Linked DNA regions of Saccharomyces cerevisiae S288C. Changing the gene in region 1 together with any one later gene gives a genetic interaction. Each region holds a gene or a part of one and is shown in the gene's direction. Other genes may lie near its edges. The genes, in order: HAL9 and NNF2.

The links.
Region 2: mutations in HAL9 (region 1) and NNF2 together harm fitness more than expected from each alone (negative genetic interaction), as found in Saccharomyces cerevisiae (2 studies listed by BioGRID).

What each region holds. Positions count from the first base shown.
Region 1 is NC_001147.6:149,898-155,470, reverse strand, and holds HAL9 (Hal9p), read left to right. Parts: upstream 1-1,980; coding exon 1,981-5,073; downstream 5,074-5,573. Other genes in the region: DUF1 (Duf1p), read left to right, coding at 1-184; protein disulfide isomerase MPD2, read left to right, coding at 726-1,559; mismatch repair ATPase MSH2, read right to left, coding at 5,195-5,573. UniProt on the Saccharomyces cerevisiae protein: Putative transcription factor involved in halotolerance.
Region 2 is NC_001139.9:650,468-663,915, forward strand, and holds NNF2 (Nnf2p), read left to right. Parts: upstream 1-6,492; coding exon 6,493-9,303; downstream 9,304-13,448. Other genes in the region: lipid-binding protein PIL1, read right to left, coding at 1-150; PDC6 (indolepyruvate decarboxylase 6), read right to left, coding at 823-2,514; CTT1 (catalase T), read left to right, coding at 4,167-5,855; rRNA-processing protein UTP22, read left to right, coding at 11,891-13,448.

The sequences.
Region 1 (5,573 bases):
AAAAATGGAACCTAGTCTTTGGTTGGATCTACTATGTAGGGGCCAAGTGCTTGATAACGATATGACTTTAAATACCGTTAGAACACTTTACTGGAAATCTCAGGGTGACATAGTTCTAGAATACAGAAGAAAAGTACATAATTCACCGCTAGTTCATGAGGTCAACGGGAATGAGGGGAAATGATAATGTTTATTTAAATTATATTTTGGGGTCTGAATTTGGAGTTTTTAAGCGTAAATATATAGTAACAATACCAACAATAATACTAATAATACTATAATAGTAGTTGCAGTAACAATGACAAGATAAAGAATATTCTTCTGAAATGTCTAAAGAACGAAGAAAAAAGCAAGTACTCATTGGAATGCTATGTGTAACAACTCATACATACTCTAGAGCTTTATAATAATTACATAGACATTTTTATAATATTATTTATTTATCAAATTTTATATTGAATAGGTACCATCAAGTTATGCACACATTCTTCATTAAAATACAGTCTGTAAATAATTGTGAATATGGGCGACCTGAATGATGTTCTTATTATCTCAAATATTTCTAATTTTTTTTAATCATTTTTGTTTCTTTAAGAGCAATTAATTTACAGAGCGGGGAACAGTGGCCAATTTTTTGAGCTAAAGAACAGCATAACAACAAAACAACAGAAAAAAAACACAGCGAGTCTAGTGCAAGTACGTCGGCAAAGTAAAACACAAAGGAGATGAAATTGCACGGCTTTTTATTTTCCGTATTATCAACATGCGTCGTCATTTTACCAGCGTTGGCCTACAGTGAAGCTGTCACGATGGTCAAGTCGATTGAGCAGTACTTCGATATCTGCAATAGGAATGATTCTTACACAATGATAAAATACTACACTTCTTGGTGCCAACATTGTAAAACTCTGGCCCCAGTATACGAAGAGCTTGGTGAGCTATACGCCAAAAAAGCTAATAAAGATGATACCCCAATTAACTTCCTTGAAGTTAACTGTGAATTCTTCGGGCCAACTTTATGTACCGACTTGCCTGGATTTCCAATAATTGAACTGGTCAAACCTCGTACTAAGCCCTTAGTTCTTCCGAAGCTCGATTGGTCGTCTATGAAATTTCATGAAAGACTATGGCAAAGAATCAAGACGTGGTTCAACAATCCTAAGTACCAACTGGATACGTCTAGGGTTGTTCGTTTTGAAGGGAGTAGGAACCTAAAGAGTTTAAGCAACTTTATCGATACTGTAAGAAGTAAAGATACAGAAGAAAGATTCATAGAACATATTTTCGATGATTCTAGGAATTGCAATGAAGAATTACGTTCTCAACAGCTTCTGTGTAAAGCTGGTAAAGAATACTACTCTGATACTTTATCTAAATTATACGGTGACGTGAATGGGCTGGAAAAGGAAAGGCGAAGACTAGAAGCTTTAATTAAGCAAAATGGAGATGACTTGAGTAAAGAAGTTAAAGAAAAACTGAAAATCATTCGTCTACAATTGAGCCTATTATCACACATAGAAGACCAGTTAGAAGATACCAGTAGTCATGACGAGCTTTGAACATAAGCTTCGCTCTGTCTTTTACTTTACGAATACCGACTACAGACGGAAGCGGGACCCTCACCCTGAGGTACAACAAATACACAGATACATATATATTTAACAATGTACGTTAGCCGCAATATAAGTGAGATTGTGTAGGTGAAAGATTATGGAGATATACATAAATATTACAGAAGGTCTACCACATGTGTTTTGAATATTGGCTTGTGCTAAGGTAACACTGTTATTTTATTCATTAGAGAAACATCTCTTACCCTGTTTGGTTTTGGTATAATCTCCAATTACGTACATGAAAGATGGCTTTATATAAAAAGCCTTTAATTCGAAAAAAGAATAAATGTCTTAGGGAGCTTATTATCGTACTTTAATTCAACTTAGGAAATCAGCACTCTCCACTCCAAATCTTCGGTTTGAAATAATGGAAAATCAAGGTGGAGATTACAGCCCAAATGGGTTTTCAAACTCAGCAAGCAATATGAATGCGGTTTTTAACAATGAAATCACCGGTAGAAGTGACATTTCAAATGTAAACCATCAAACTGGTACCCCACGTCTGGTTCCTGAAACTCAAATATGGTCGATGCCTGTGCCAGATCAACTGATGACGATGCCTAACAGAGAAAACACCCTTATGACAGGTAGTACAATAGGTCCAAATATCCCCATGAATGTGGCTTATCCCAATACAATATACTCGCCAACAGAGCATCAGTCGCAATTTCAGACACAACAGAACCGTGACATCAGCACGATGATGGAACACACTAACAGTAATGATATGAGCGGCTCTGGTAAAAATCTCAAGAAACGTGTATCAAAGGCCTGTGACCATTGCCGAAAAAGAAAAATCAGATGTGATGAAGTGGACCAGCAGACCAAAAAATGTTCAAACTGTATTAAGTTTCAGTTGCCTTGCACTTTCAAACATCGTGATGAGATTCTTAAGAAGAAAAGAAAATTAGAAATCAAACATCATGCAACACCAGGGGAATCACTTCAAACCTCAAATAGTATTAGCAATCCTGTAGCGTCTTCTTCAGTACCGAACAGTGGAAGGTTTGAACTTTTAAACGGTAATTCCCCCTTAGAAAGCAATATCATCGATAAAGTCTCCAATATTCAAAATAATCTTAACAAAAAAATGAATTCAAAGATTGAAAAATTGGATAGAAAAATGTCTTACATTATTGACAGTGTGGCTAGACTTGAGTGGTTATTGGACAAGGCTGTTAAAAAGCAGGAAGGCAAATACAAGGAAAAGAACAATTTGCCCAAACCAGCGAGAAAAATATACTCTACGGCACTTTTAACTGCTCAAAAACTCTATTGGTTCAAACAAAGTTTAGGAGTGAAAGCGTCCAATGAGGAGTTTCTTTCTCCAATCAGCGAAATATTAAGCATATCTTTAAAATGGTATGCAACTCAAATGAAAAAATTTATGGATTTGTCATCTCCGGCTTTCTTCTCCAGCGAAATAATATTATACTCATTACCTCCGAAAAAGCAAGCAAAGAGACTTCTTGAGAATTTTCATGCTACCTTATTATCCTCTGTAACTGGTATAATATCGTTAAAAGAATGTCTAGACTTAGCAGAAAAGTACTACAGCGAAAGCGGCGAAAAACTCACATATCCTGAACATTTATTATTAAACGTGTGTCTCTGCTCGGGTGCATCTGCCACTCAATCAATTATAAGAGGTGATTCAAAGTTTCTAAGGAAAGATAGATATGATCCAACCTCCCAAGAGTTAAAAAAAATCGAAAACGTTGCCTTACTAAATGCCATGTATTATTATCATAAGCTGTCCACCATCTGTTCAGGTACAAGAACACTACAAGCTTTATTACTACTGAACCGATATTTTCAACTTACCTACGATACTGAACTAGCAAATTGTATTTTAGGAACCGCGATTAGATTGGCGGTTGACATGGAATTAAATAGAAAATCCTCTTACAAGTCACTAGACTTTGAAGAAGCCATAAGGAGAAGAAGAATGTGGTGGCATTGTTTTTGTACAGATAAACTATATTCTTTAATGTTATCCAGACCCCCTATTGTGGGGGAACGCGATATGGATATGCTAACAGATCAAAATTATTATGAAGTGATAAAAACTAATATTCTACCTGATCTTATTGATAAAAAGGAAGATCTCGATAAAATTACTGATGTCAACTCTGCATTGAATGTAGTTGTAAATTTTTGTCAGCACATATCCCTTTTCATATCATATTATGTTTCAAAATTGGTTAGTATTGAGAGTAAAATATACTCTACTTGTTTTGCTGTCAGAAGTACTCTAGATCTTTCATTCGATGCCATGCTTGATAAAATCAAAGATCTCAATGATTCTTTGAACAATTGGAGAGACAACTTGCACGTAAGTATGAAACTAAAAAGTTATAAACAGTATTTATCGGTACTTTACGCTCAAAAATCCCAAGAAAATCCGGCTTTAAGTTTTGAGATTGCATGCTCTCGTGTTTTGAATTGTCATTTTAGGGCGCTATATTCTAAAGTGATTTTGAGCATGATGACTACATCCTTATTGATTGATAACGAACGCCTATACAAAGGTTCTCGCCATGATATTCCTCAGCTATTCATTCTTTTTTCAAGTCAATACTTAAACGCCAGTAAAGAAATGTTACAGCTGTTTCAAGGCATCAATTACCAGGCGCATATGTATAACGAGGTTATGTATCAGTTCTCTACTGCTATGTTTGTTCTCTTCTTTTACGTTGTGGATAATATGAACGATCTAAAAAAGAAAGGTGAGGTAAAAGAGATCATCGATATCCTAAAAAAATCTTATGATCGATTAGTGGGAGAAAATGATGAGCAGTTACTGTTTGACAATGTCAAATGGAACACTTTGATTGTGTTCTACAGCCACTTTTTGAAATACGTTTTGCAACGTTATCATGCTTTGAACGATTCTACGTCAATATTTGATTCTAAACCTTATGATGAAACGATAACGAAAGTTATTATGCATTCAAGAAAGATAAAAGATGAAACAGTCGATCAACTAATTATGAGTCTAAAATCATATGGTTCTCTCCATTCTTTACAAAAGGGCAACGAAGCCGATCTCGCCGATGATGGACTGAATACGAATGATATTTCTTCAGAAGACTTTGCGGAGGAAGCACCAATAAACTTATTTGGAGAGTTATCAGTCGAAATTTTAAAACTATTAAAATCTCACTCCCCCATCTCAAATTTTGGAGACCTATCGCCATCTTCAAATAGGAAAGGAATATCTGATGACTCATCTTTGTACCCAATTCGTTCGGACCTAACATCTCTTGTTTATCCCATCCATAGTTCTGATACCGGAGATACTCTTTCCAGTGGTCTAGAGACCCCTGAAAATTCTAATTTTAATAGTGACAGTGGAATAAAGGAAGATTTCGAAGCTTTTAGAGCCTTATTGCCTTTAGGAAAATTGATCTATGACAGAGATTATTCTTTCGTGAACACTTTTAGGGATTATGAATAAACTGTACCTTGTCTACAAAGATTGTAAAAAATAAAAATTCTTTCCCAATGCATATTATATGTACTATTTGTATCTATATATTATCTATCGATTCTCACTTAAGATGTCGTTGTAATATTAATTATAACAACAAGGCTTTTATATATTTCAGGTAATTATCGTTTTCCTTTTCTGGTTCATTTGCTATAGCACGCAATAGCTCTTGTATTTTATGCTGGGAAGCTTCTTCAGTAATTTTGCTTGGGTCATGTAAACCCTCCTCCTTCACTTTTCTAATCCACTCTTTCAGTAAAGCCTTCAAACGAATATTACCTTCGTTAACTTCCTGTAATGATAGCTTAGCTTTTTTCAAATCTTCATTATTAGTTTTTAGATCGTCCAATTCATTGGCTTTACGTTTAGCCATTTTAACAATTTTTTCTGGAAATTGAACAACTTCTGCAACATGAATACCAAAAGACTGATCTGAAATACCAGGCTCAACTTTGTATAACAACGTG
Region 2 (13,448 bases), on another chromosome or scaffold:
AAAAGCTCCAGCAGCACTTCTCCTAAAGCTGTAAGCTAGACCACCCTTCCCAAAGAATCTACCTTTGGTTGTAGATGGTGGTGGCGGTGGGTTCTGTAATTGAGAGGCGGTAGGTGCCCTGGAATTTCTTAAAGAGTAAGTTCTGTGCATACTATATACTTGATGCTGATATATTCTTCACTTTGCAATACTGCTAACAATGGAAAAGTATAGGTAAATAAATGTGCAGATGCAGATGTGAGACAAATTTTCTTTCTTGGGTTGGGATAATCAACGCATTGTACCCAAACGACGGGAAACAAGGAAGGATGCAGAATGAGCACTTGTTATTTATAAAAAGACACGGGAGGGGGAATCCCGTCTTTCGTCCGTCGGAGCCAAAGAGATGAGCCAAAGCAGAAAAACAGGGGACGCCGCCCTTCTTCCGTCCCGTGCGTGAGGGGGGCGCGGCCATTCGGTTTTTGCAATATGACCTGTGGGCCAAAAATCGAAAAAAAAAAAAATAAGAGGCGGCTGCGGAATTTTATAAGACAAGCGCAGGGCCAAAGAAAAAATAATAATTGACGTGGCTGAACAACAGTCTCTCCCCACCCCTTTCCAAAAAGGGGAATGAAATACGAGTTCTTTTTCCCAATTGGTAAATATTCAACAAGAGACGCGCAGTACGTAACATGCGAATTGCGTAATTCACGGCGATAACGTAGTATTTAGATTTAGTATAATTTGAACCGATGTATTTATTTGTCTGATTGATTTATGTATTCAAACTGTGTAAGTTTATTTATTTGCAACAATAATTCGTTTGAGTACACTACTAATGGCTTATTGTTTGGCATTTGTAGCGGCAGTCAATTGCGCTTGTTTGATCAAACTTTCCGGAGCATCAAAGACGGGCAGTTTCAGTTCAATTAGTCTGATCACCGAGTTTTTCTGGAACTCTGAATCAGTGGTTAAGGCATCCCACTCACCCGTAGTGGCGATCTTGTGATTTTCGTACTTTTTCGCACCAAATGCGGGCAACAGGGCGAGGTGATCCCAGGTCTGGATTTCGTTGTACTCTGCGTGAGGCCCATGAATCAGCTTTTCGATAGTGTAGCCGTCGTTGTTAAGGACAAAAAGATACGGCTTTAACCCCCATCTGATCATGGTGGAGATTTCTTGGACGGTTAACTGCAAAGACCCGTCACCTATGAATAAGATGACTCTCTTGTTGGGGTCAATCTCCTCAGCGGCAAAGGCAGCACCTAAAGTTGCTCCTGTTGTAAAACCGATGGACCCCCACAACACCTGCGAGATACCGTAGGCGTCCTTAGGAAAGATAGTTTGATTGATACCGAAGGCAGACGTGCCGGTCTCGGAAATGATAACATCACCTTCTTGCAAGAATTTGGACAATTCGTTCCACAACCACTCTTGTTTCAAGGGCGTGCTAGCAGGTACACCTTTGTTTGCGGGAGTTTTGGTTGGTACGGGAACGCTCTTGTAGCCCTTAACAACATCGGGAATAACCTTCAGTAAGTTTTGTAGTGCAAATTTCATTTGTACACCGAGGAACGTAGCGTTCTTCACCTTTACGTAATCGGAATGAAACTCCACTACATTTTTAGTCTTGTAGGAGTAGGAAAACGAACCTGTGTTAAAATCAGAGAGCAAAGCACCGACCGAAAGGATCAAATCAGCCGACTCAACGGCCTGTTTCACGTCTTGTTTGGACAGCGTTCCCACATAAACACCGCCATATCTGGGATGCTGTTCATCTATTGACCCTTTACCTAGAGGTGTCACAAAAGCTGGGAATTGCGTCAAATCAATTAACTTCTGGGTTTCTTTTTTAACGTTGTGCCTAGAAGCACAGGCATCCGATAGTATAACAGGGTTTTTCGAATTCTGGATCAATTCTAGTACGGTATCAATAACTTCCTTTTCAGCTTCGGGATCGTTAGGTTTTAATGATAGATCAATCGGTTTTTCCAAAAGAGAACCAGGAACCTTTAGATCTACCAAATTCGCTGGCAACCCCAAGTAGCTAGGCCTTTGTGTTATAAATGTTGTCCTGATCAACCTATCGATTTCTGAAGGGGCTGTAGCAATGTCTGTAATCATTGATGTAGTTTCTGAGATATTGGCGGACATTCTGTGAAAAACGGTAAAATCACCGTTACCCAAGGTATGATGCAACAACAATTGCTTAGCCTGAGCGGAGATAGAGGGGACACCAACAACATGCAGTACACCGACGTGTTCTGCATACGATCCTGCAATACCATTCAAGGCGGATAATTCACCTACGCCAAAAGTAGTTACCAGCACAGATAAACCCTTGATGCGTGCGTAACCATCGGCGGCATAGGCGGCGTTCAGCTCATTTGCATTACCAGCCCATCTCAATCCATCTACCTCGTAAATCTTGTCCAATAGGGACAAGTTGAAGTCGCCTGGTAGCCCAAAAATGGTGTTAACATTAACTTGCTTCAATCTTTCAAATAAGTATTTTCCAAGAGTAATTTCAGACATTTTGTTGGCAATATGTTTTTGCTATATTACGTGGGTTTTTTATTTATACTGTATATAAAAGAGGACTGCAATAGCACAAGATTAAGATAGAATGGCTTCAAACAGCCGCCTTTTATACATATTGGTAAAAGCTCGCGAATCGCACCATATCCCTTATCCTGTAATCAAATCGATCTAGGTGCAGATACAGATCAATTCATAAAAAGAAATTGAAGCACCAGTTTATCACTACTACACTATCTTTTTCTTTTTTTTTTTTTTTTGCGAAGTTTCGCCCTTTGTTCAATATCACTTGATAAGTTGTGGGCTTTTTCTGTCACTCATTCGGCTTAAAAAGTATTCGTTCTTTTGTGTTTTATGAAAAGGGAACGTGATATAAAAAAACATCCTTTGGTGTGGGACATGGGCTTTTGTTTAGAGAATGGTTATCACTACCGCCCCCACCCTTGAAAGCCACAGAAAATGAAAAAGTATGTGAATAAGGTGTGAACTCTATAACATTTTGGCCAAATGCCACAGCCGATCTGCATATTCCAATGGACATAATGCAACAACAATTGATGTCACATTCTCTTACACACTTCGATTGGTCCGTACGTAGTACTTTTTACATAACTGACTCAGGCGTTTCCTTCATTGAAATGCTCATCTATTGCCAAGTACATAGAATCCACAGTGCATAGGTTTATGAGATGCTTGGAAGATGTACGATCGCCTGCACTATATTAGTATATTTTTTCAGGCTTTACAAAACCAGAAAGAAATTACCGACTGTAATACTTAATTTCCATGATTTTAATCGTATGGTCCGTGAGGAAAGAGGAATTTTAGGTAAAAAAAAACCTTTGTCTATCAAAACATAAAAGAAAAGAAAAAAATTAAATTGAATAAGTCAGCTTTTTAGCATGACCACAGTAATAATAGTAATACGATATCAGCATGAGCTGCTAAACATTAAGAATTTTTGAATTGTGTTCGCTGGTAAGAGAAAATAGGGTAGCATTAGTTGCGAGATGGAAAATTAAAATATGCGTCATAAGGTATTTTCGACGTTGAAGATTAGGGGTTGCAAGTCCGAGAACTAAACTGCCTTCACGACGTCAAACTTATTGTATGGTGACAATAAAACGAATTCAAGAAGCCAGAGATGATGAGGAACCGATGACGAGGCACATGGGGATAGAACCTCCGTTATCTCCATTCCGCGTTGAGCAGCTCTCCTGCGTGCTTTCACAGAGACCCTAAGCCAAGACCGCGGACGGCCCTCTTTTTCAAGGGGATCACCGGTAAGGGGCCAAGCGGTGAAATTGCGTATTGTTTCCTCCTATCAATGATGAGTACGTCGCCGATCCAGAAGGGTTATTATTGTCATTGCCAGTACTATTCGTATGCTGAAAAAGTATAGTTCACTTCACCCTCTGGCTGCAGGCTAGCCTAGCCGATAATGCCCCCGACTCCCTCAACAGGTAGAATTTGTAAGGATTCGACGTAGCCTGGACACATTGTGCATTTATCGTATCCCCTACTGCTACACGTATAAGAAGTCGTTGCTTTACCTCTATTCCAGAACTCAATCTTGTCGTTACTTGCCCTTATTAAAAAAATCCTTCTCTTGTCTCATGCCAATAAGATCAATCAGCTCAGCTTCACAAATGAACGTGTTCGGTAAAAAAGAAGAAAAGCAAGAAAAAGTTTACTCTCTACAAAACGGTTTTCCGTACTCTCATCACCCATACGCTTCTCAATACTCAAGACCAGACGGCCCTATCTTACTGCAAGACTTCCATCTGCTGGAAAATATTGCAAGTTTCGATAGAGAAAGAGTTCCGGAGCGTGTAGTCCATGCCAAAGGTGGTGGTTGTAGACTGGAGTTCGAACTAACAGATTCTTTGAGTGATATTACATACGCCGCTCCATACCAGAATGTGGGTTACAAATGTCCTGGTCTTGTTCGTTTTTCCACCGTTGGTGGTGAAAGTGGTACACCAGACACTGCAAGAGACCCAAGAGGTGTTTCTTTTAAATTCTATACCGAGTGGGGGAACCATGACTGGGTCTTCAACAATACTCCCGTCTTCTTCCTCAGAGACGCTATTAAGTTTCCCGTATTTATTCATTCGCAAAAGAGAGACCCTCAGTCTCATCTGAATCAGTTTCAGGACACTACCATATACTGGGATTATCTAACATTGAATCCGGAATCAATCCATCAAATAACTTACATGTTTGGTGATAGAGGTACTCCTGCTTCGTGGGCTAGTATGAACGCGTACTCTGGTCATTCCTTCATCATGGTCAACAAAGAAGGTAAGGACACATATGTGCAATTCCACGTCTTGTCGGATACTGGTTTTGAAACCTTGACTGGAGATAAGGCTGCTGAACTGTCAGGCTCCCACCCTGATTATAATCAGGCAAAGCTGTTCACTCAATTGCAAAATGGCGAAAAGCCAAAATTTAACTGTTATGTGCAAACAATGACACCCGAACAAGCAACTAAGTTCAGGTATTCGGTAAATGACCTAACGAAAATATGGCCACACAAGGAATTCCCTTTGAGAAAATTTGGTACCATCACCCTAACGGAGAATGTTGACAATTATTTCCAAGAAATTGAACAAGTTGCATTCAGTCCAACGAACACTTGTATCCCAGGTATTAAGCCTTCTAATGATTCCGTTCTACAAGCCAGACTTTTCTCCTATCCAGACACTCAACGTCATAGATTGGGAGCCAACTATCAGCAATTGCCCGTCAACAGACCAAGAAACTTGGGATGTCCATACTCCAAAGGTGATTCCCAATACACTGCCGAACAGTGTCCATTTAAAGCAGTGAACTTCCAAAGGGACGGCCCAATGAGTTACTACAATTTCGGTCCTGAGCCAAATTATATTTCCAGTTTACCAAATCAAACTCTGAAATTCAAAAATGAAGACAACGACGAAGTATCTGATAAGTTCAAAGGGATAGTTCTTGACGAAGTAACAGAAGTTTCTGTGAGAAAACAGGAACAAGACCAAATCAGAAACGAGCATATTGTTGATGCCAAAATTAATCAATATTACTACGTTTATGGTATTAGTCCACTAGACTTCGAACAGCCAAGAGCTCTATATGAAAAGGTATACAACGATGAACAGAAGAAATTATTCGTTCATAACGTTGTTTGCCACGCTTGTAAGATCAAAGATCCTAAAGTCAAAAAGAGAGTTACGCAATACTTTGGTTTGCTAAACGAAGATTTGGGTAAAGTCATTGCAGAATGCTTGGGAGTTCCTTGGGAACCTGTTGACCTTGAAGGTTATGCCAAGACTTGGTCCATTGCAAGTGCCAATTAAGGCAGCACTATTTATTCATAATTATTCGTAATTATATCTCCATAATTATTTATTCATAAGTTTTCTTTAAGTTTATTCTCTACATCACTAGTTATTACAAATTGGTCGTATGTACAAGCACTAATATTTCATACTTATCGTACTTCATACATAGCAAATCCTGTTAGGAAAAATATGGCAGCAAAACAGATTGGCTGCCTACTTTTGACACATTTTTTTCTAATTCGGTACTTAGATCGGCATGAACTCAACGATTATCGCATTATACGGACAATCTGAAAAAAAAAAGTAGCCTAACTTATGCAGTTGTGTGTTTATAACGTTGAATTCCTAAACCTCTTGAAGGTGTAATATAACAAGTAACATAACTAGGTTTTCACAACTCGTTAGTTTCTATTAAAAGAGGAATAAACAAATTTTATTAGGACTAAGAGGATTATACAGAGTACCAGCAGAGAAAACTTTAAATTCTTTCTGTTATAATAATATCTTACCAAAGTTTTTTGTTTTCTATCTCCACATTTTTCGTACCATCTCTTTAGGTAATCACTCTGAATAACTTTTATTCATATACACCCCAATATTTTTTAAGATTCCACCTATCTCCGTTACATAAAAGGATCCATGCACAATTTTCATGGAGGAACAATTTACTAATCAGAAGAAAGTATCACATCTACAGTCATTAATGAACACTAAAAGGAGTGAACAGCCCACCGAATTTGCCAAAAAACATAGGTTTAAAGATACGCTTGCATTGTTCCTGGTTTTTTTGAGTTTTAACCACTTCACTTCCCTATGTTTATTGGTTTCCTTTATTGTTGCTACCAAATGCAAAGATTTTCTGGCAAATTGTTTTATTATACTTTTCCTATCGAAAAAACCTTCCCGCCATATCGGTGAAGTGGCGCACATAGATATAAGTACTTCCAAAGTGACCAATGGTAGTTCAAACCGAAAATCTAATTCACGATTTTTTGGCAATTCAAAAAATAGCTTCGTCATTCCGATCCCCGTATTAATTTGTGAAATTTTATTTGCAATGTTACTAAAGATTTACGGTGGCGATTATTTTGTTAAGCCAATAAAAAATCTGGCAATTTCTATTATTGCCTCATTTTTGATCAATGATCCAAGCGATTGCTTAAGCTATGCAACTTCATGCTCAGTATTGTATGCTGTGTCAACTAACACTTTTCAAAGAGTGTCACACTTCTTTGACATTATACAGTTATTTGATATGTCTTTACGAGGAACCGGCCAATCAATTAAATTATTCACGGTTTTTCGCAAGTATTCACAGTTTTTCAAAAAGCTTTTCTCTCTATTTTTGCCAATGCCTTTCAAGATGCTTGGCAAACATTCAGACAGTATGATTTATTATCTATCCTTTCACATCCTTTTTTTCTCATTTGCTTCAAGTTTATTACACCCTCATAGACAAACAGCGGAAAACAAGCCATTGAAAAAGGGTTTCAATTCAACTAAACCAGATGTAGCCCGTGTTCAAGGTCTGCAAAAGATGAGAATTTCTTCTTCTTCTTCCGTTTCTGCCGATTCGAACACTTTAGAGGACCAAAGTCCTATGATACCGAACGATCCAGGTGGACTTAGCAGCAGCAATCAAACTATCCATCCATCCCAACAAAATAACTCGCCAGTTCCCCTATCATCACACAGTAATATTTTGAACCCTGCCGCCTCTTATCCTACTGATGCTACTTCTAGTTTTCCCTATTTCACTTCTATGGTCAAGGAATATAAGTCATATCAGCCATCGGTAATCTCTGCTGAAGGAAGCAATTCTCAAGCCGTTACTACTACTACCAGTACAACAACCTCTCCTACAACGTTCAACTTTTCTGGTGATAACACTAGTTTGTCAAATGAAATCTCTCTATCTGATTCCTCGAATGGAAATTCGAAAAAGGATTCTGATTTCTTTTCCCCTTCCAATGACAAGTATACTAACCAACTGTTTGAACTGAATGTTGATTTTGGGAACATGTTTTCTTCTAGCAAATTATCTTCAGACATATCTGTTACATCAAACTTGGAAAATTTTATCCGTCTTCTATTCAGAAGAAAGAATCAACACTTGATTGCACCTCTTTGGTCTATGGTAGTTACATTAAAAACAACGAATTTTGAAAAAAAATACTTACAAGAAACCTCTGAAAATTCACTAACACCAACAAATTCGAATACTTCATACGTCAGTAATCAGGAAAAACATGACAAAGATTTGGACACGATTAATACACATTCAGTTTCATCAAGAATTAGTTTCACCCATGCCGGAAAGTTTAAGAAGAGCGTGTTTAACAATTTCGAACCTTCAAATACTATGGCCCTGATTGCAAAGACAACATCTGATGACTACAATCTTTTAAATTTAGTTTCCACCAATGAAAATATTTTCAATAGAAATGATAATGACTACAAAGTTTGCATTATTGATATTAGCACAAACTCTATTACATTCCATATTGAAAATTTACATGATGGCGAACTCATTGTTTTAGTAAACGGTGTTATCTGGTCAGAAGTTTCTTGCGCTTTAATTTTAGAGCATGTAGGCGAAGAATACGTTGTCGTTAACGGATTAGTCCCTTCTTGTTCTTATGATATTCAATTCATCAACAGACTAAATCACCGAGATGATTATTTGGTTTCTGATTTAATTGTAAGGACTTGTGGGAATAACAATGCGATTGCCGGAAAATTTGAAAACCTTGATTTCAGCTTCCCTTCATACTACCATAGGAAATTCTTATCTCCGTTGCTAACTCTGAAGCATTCCGTGCTAACTACAAACGCAAATTTGTCCGATGAAAGGACAAAATTGAAAAAGACAAAAAAGGAATTCAGCAAGAAGTTAAGTCTTTTGAGACAAGAAATTGATTATTTTAAAGGCAGGATTTCACAGAACGCAACACATGACGAAAAGAGCACTTTAAAAGTCGAAAATTTGAAGGTTGCCCTACAGCAAAGTGAGACTGCGGTAAATAAGTTAGAGATGCAATTGAAAACTCTCACTGAAAAAGAGCTTGAATTAGAAGAGGAATACTTGAAAAAGAAAGATCTACACTTGAAAAATCAATTAGAGTTCAGTAAGTTAGAAGAAAGCTTATCGAAAGACCTGAAAAACTCAGAAGGGAGGTTCCAAAAGGTCAATCAAGAATTAGTTCAACTAGGCTCTAAACTGGACAAATTGAACGCGAGAAACGAGAAGTTACAAAAGGAGGTCGATCAGAACGCAGAAGAGATAGAAAAGTTCAGTACTCAATTTTTGAGTAAAAGAGAAAAGGATAGATTTAGAAGAAAGGAGTACAGGATACGCGAAGCCAATAAATTTGAATTGACTATAAAGGGGTTAGAGCAAGATATCAACAGATTAGAAAATGAGAATGAAAATATACATAGTCTAATTGGTAATAGTTACTGATGGAAGATTAGAAAACAAAGATAGATAAGAATTCGTTTTGTAGCATCCTAAAATTTACTTCTATTGAATATATACATGTATTTATTACTTGGACGTTCTACTTTAAATGTAGTCAGTCGTTTTTTTCTCGATATTGTTTTTTTATTGTTTCCTAATAACTTCATTTGTTACTTTTTTGCCTTTTGTTATTTATGGAAATAATGCAGGTTAACATAAGTAAACATAAAATATGAGAAAAACTAAGAATGTTTGCTGATGTATTGAACAGTTCACATCGTTGTGTCTACTATTAACACTAAGTTGTTGATCAAAACATTCCCTAATTAATAGCTGCCCCAGGACTTGGAAGGCCACACTACTCTCCATGACATCAAAGATACGGCCCAAATAATCTGTATCCTCGATATGAACTTAGGACCACATATTTGGAGCTTGTCCAAAATACTAAAATGGCAGATAACAATTAGATGGTTCCAATTCAAATACATTACAAGCTACGAAAACTAATATTCTATAATTTATACTAAGTTCATGGAAAGAATTGCAATGGATTGAGGTTTCTAACGAGGTTATCACTACCGCAAATATAGAGAGTAAGTTGGTAATATACAACAATAGAATTTAATCAATAACCAATCTCAACATTATTGTATCGTATTTTAACTTATAATTGTGCTCATATCAAGTTTTCTAGGTTACAATTACGACCAATTCTCAGGTTGTTTTGCAAAATTGGCGAAGAGATGGAGGCCTACCACATATTATCACGATTTGATAGGGATAATCTGAGTAACGATTAGTTATTGACGAATCCCTTTAATATAGTTTCCACACGAGAATAGGCGCCTACTAAAGAATTGATGAATCTGCTGGTAATTTCTAGGTTTCCATTATTCGGTAAAATATACGGAATGTATTAGGGGTTCTTCATGACGATCAAAGATCCATGAATGGAGATCGGTATTTTTAAGTAATAGTGCTACTATTTTTTTCCTTTTTGCATTCTGTCGTTCAATATCCTGTTACATTATTAATCTTAGTTTCGGATTCCACTGAAATCAATAACTATATCCCATGGCTTGGGCCTTAATTCTTGTGTCATATACAATAATATGCTAGTGCCGTGAACACTAGCCAATGAAGAAATGATCGTTTTCCAACACATACCGGACGTGGCTCTGATAGTGCTCGACGATGGAAATTTCAGCATGCATACTGATGTATGTCAAGATAACAACTACAGTCCTATCGTCGTGATTATAGGGAATCGACCGCGCCACTGCTATGACAACGGAAAGTTTATCCATGGCCTGCTGATTTTGATGCTGCTGTGGACACGAGAATACCAACACCTGTTCACATCTTCATGTGGATGAACGTAACGAAGTGGATATTTAGGCTCGGTAGCGAATCTTTTGCCGTACCTCCAAATTTATCTTGTATCGATTTTTCCGTCTAGTTGAAACTGTTATTATCCGCCCCTCCAATTTTCTGTAAAGCATAGGTGCTTCTTCAAAGTATCCAATGTATTTCTTAAGCTTATCAAGAAATAACATACTTCGAATACGTCCCAAGTTTTCTGATAACTTTATCATATTCTTTTGGCTAATTGGCGATCGTTTATATACCCCAGTGATTTTGGTTATAAATTTATAATATAGTTCAAACTATCCTTCCTTTAGAACAACTGTAAGCTTTAATTTTGAGCAAGCGCTACCATTTGATATATAGCAAACTAACCAAAATGCTAAGACATCTTCTAGTCTAAAAGTAACTCTTTTTCTGTGTATCTAATTCACATTGTGAATTTGAAAAGTACCCTTATTTGTATATATGTTGGTTTTGATGGTAGGTGACCTCACTTTTCTTTAGAAAATTTGCAATTATAGTTTTAGACAATCCCTTTATGTTTCATGTGCGTATTCATTATTTTTAACAAATTCCTAGTTCTCAAATCTGAGTCTCTTGGTAAAAATTTGCCTCCTTAGCTTAGTGGTAGAGCGTTGCACTTGTAATGCAAAGGTCGTTAGTTCAATTCTGACAGGTGGCATAATTTTATATATCTCTTTTTTTGCTTGTTGTACGGAAGTTCTGTCCATCCGGTGGGCGACCGGTATAGAATTATCGCGCCATCCATGAAGGTTGGCCCAGGGCCGAGTAAAGATTTAGGCAGGACCGGTGGTGGCCACTGCCTGGGAACGTCGGCCTACGGCTCGCTGCATGCCGTTGAAAAATTTCAATTGTAATTTGGAAAATTTAACCAAATGATAATTTCAATATGTACCACTAGCACTTTACGTCAAGAATCTCAAGCAAACCAAAGGGTTTTAATCTTATACTTTTCCATTCTATTTTTTAATAGAATTTAAATCGGCAGCTCTTATACTTGGAAACAGGACGTTTTCATTTTGCTTTTTTGAAGGCCAGATATTTGCTTTCACTTTAAGAACCAACTCCAAGAAATCTTCAAAGTTTCCTTTGTTAGATTTATCCTCTGATTGAATTATTGAAACCACAGGTATAATCACTTTGGGGTAGAACATTATAGTTTTCATAGAAATTTTACAAAGGATCTCCTTCATATACCATGGCTACAAGTGTTAAAAGAAAAGCATCTGAGACTTCTGACCAGAATATTGTTAAAGTGCAAAAGAAACATTCCACACAGGACAGCACAACTGACAACGGATCCAAAGAAAATGATCACAGTAGTCAAGCCATCAACGAGCGTACCGTGCCCGAGCAAGAAAACGACGAAAGCGATACTTCACCTGAAAGTAACGAGGTCGCTACTAACACTGCTGCGACTCGCCACAATGGAAAGGTTACTGCAACAGAGTCCTATGATATTCACATAGCTAGAGAAACGGCTGAATTATTCAAGTCTAATATTTTCAAGTTACAAATTGACGAATTACTGGAGCAAGTGAAGTTAAAACAAAAACATGTTCTGAAAGTCGAAAAATTTCTACACAAGTTATATGATATTCTCCAGGAAATTCCTGATTGGGAGGAAAAGTCATTAGCTGAAGTGGACTCCTTCTTCAAAAACAAGATTGTTTCTGTTCCATTTGTTGACCCCAAACCTATTCCTCAAAATACTAATTATAAATTCAATTACAAGAAACCAGACATCTCCTTAATTGGCTCCTTTGCTCTTAAAGCTGGAATTTATCAACCTAACGGCTCTTCCATTGATACTTTACTAACAATGCCAAAGGAGTTGTTCGAAAAAAAAGATTTCTTAAATTTCAGGTGCTTACACAAGAGGAGCGTTTATTTAGCATACCTAACCCACCACCTATTGATATTATTGAAAAAAGATAAATTAGACTCATTTTTGCAACTCGAGTATTCTTATTTTGATAATGATCCGCTTTTACCAATTTTAAGAATTAGTTGTTCCAAACCAACGGGTGATTCTCTTTCTGATTATAACTTTTACAAGACCAGATTCTCTATCAACTTGCTTATTGGTTTCCCATACAAAGTCTTTGAACCAAAAAAACTGTTACCCAATAGAAACTGTATTAGAATAGCACAAGAAAGCAAAGAGCAATCTTTACCAGCCACTCCTCTTTACAATTTTTCAGTGTTATCTTCTTCAACACATGAAAACTACCTGAAGTATTTATACAAGACGAAGAAACAAACAGAATCTTTTGTTGAAGCTACTGTTTTAGGTAGATTATGGCTGCAGCAACGTGGGTTTTCATCCAATATGTCGCATTCTGGTTCATTGGGTGGATTCGGTACTTTTGAATTTACTATCTTGATGGCAGCGTTATTAAACGGTGGTGGTATAAATAGTAACAAGATATTACTTCACGGGTTTTCATCATACCAATTGTTTAAAGGTGTAATAAAATACTTAGCCACTATGGATTTGTGCCACGACGGCCATTTACAATTTCATTCTAATCCAGAGAATTCCTCCAGTTCACCAGCTTCTAAATATATTGATGAGGGTTTCCAAACTCCAACCTTATTTGATAAGTCAACCAAGGTCAATATTCTTACAAAAATGACTGTTTCTTCTTATCAAATTTTGAAAGAATATGCCGGTGAAACATTGAGAATGCTAAACAACGTTGTTCAAGACCAATTCTCAAATATTTTTTTGACTAATATTAGCCGTTTTGACA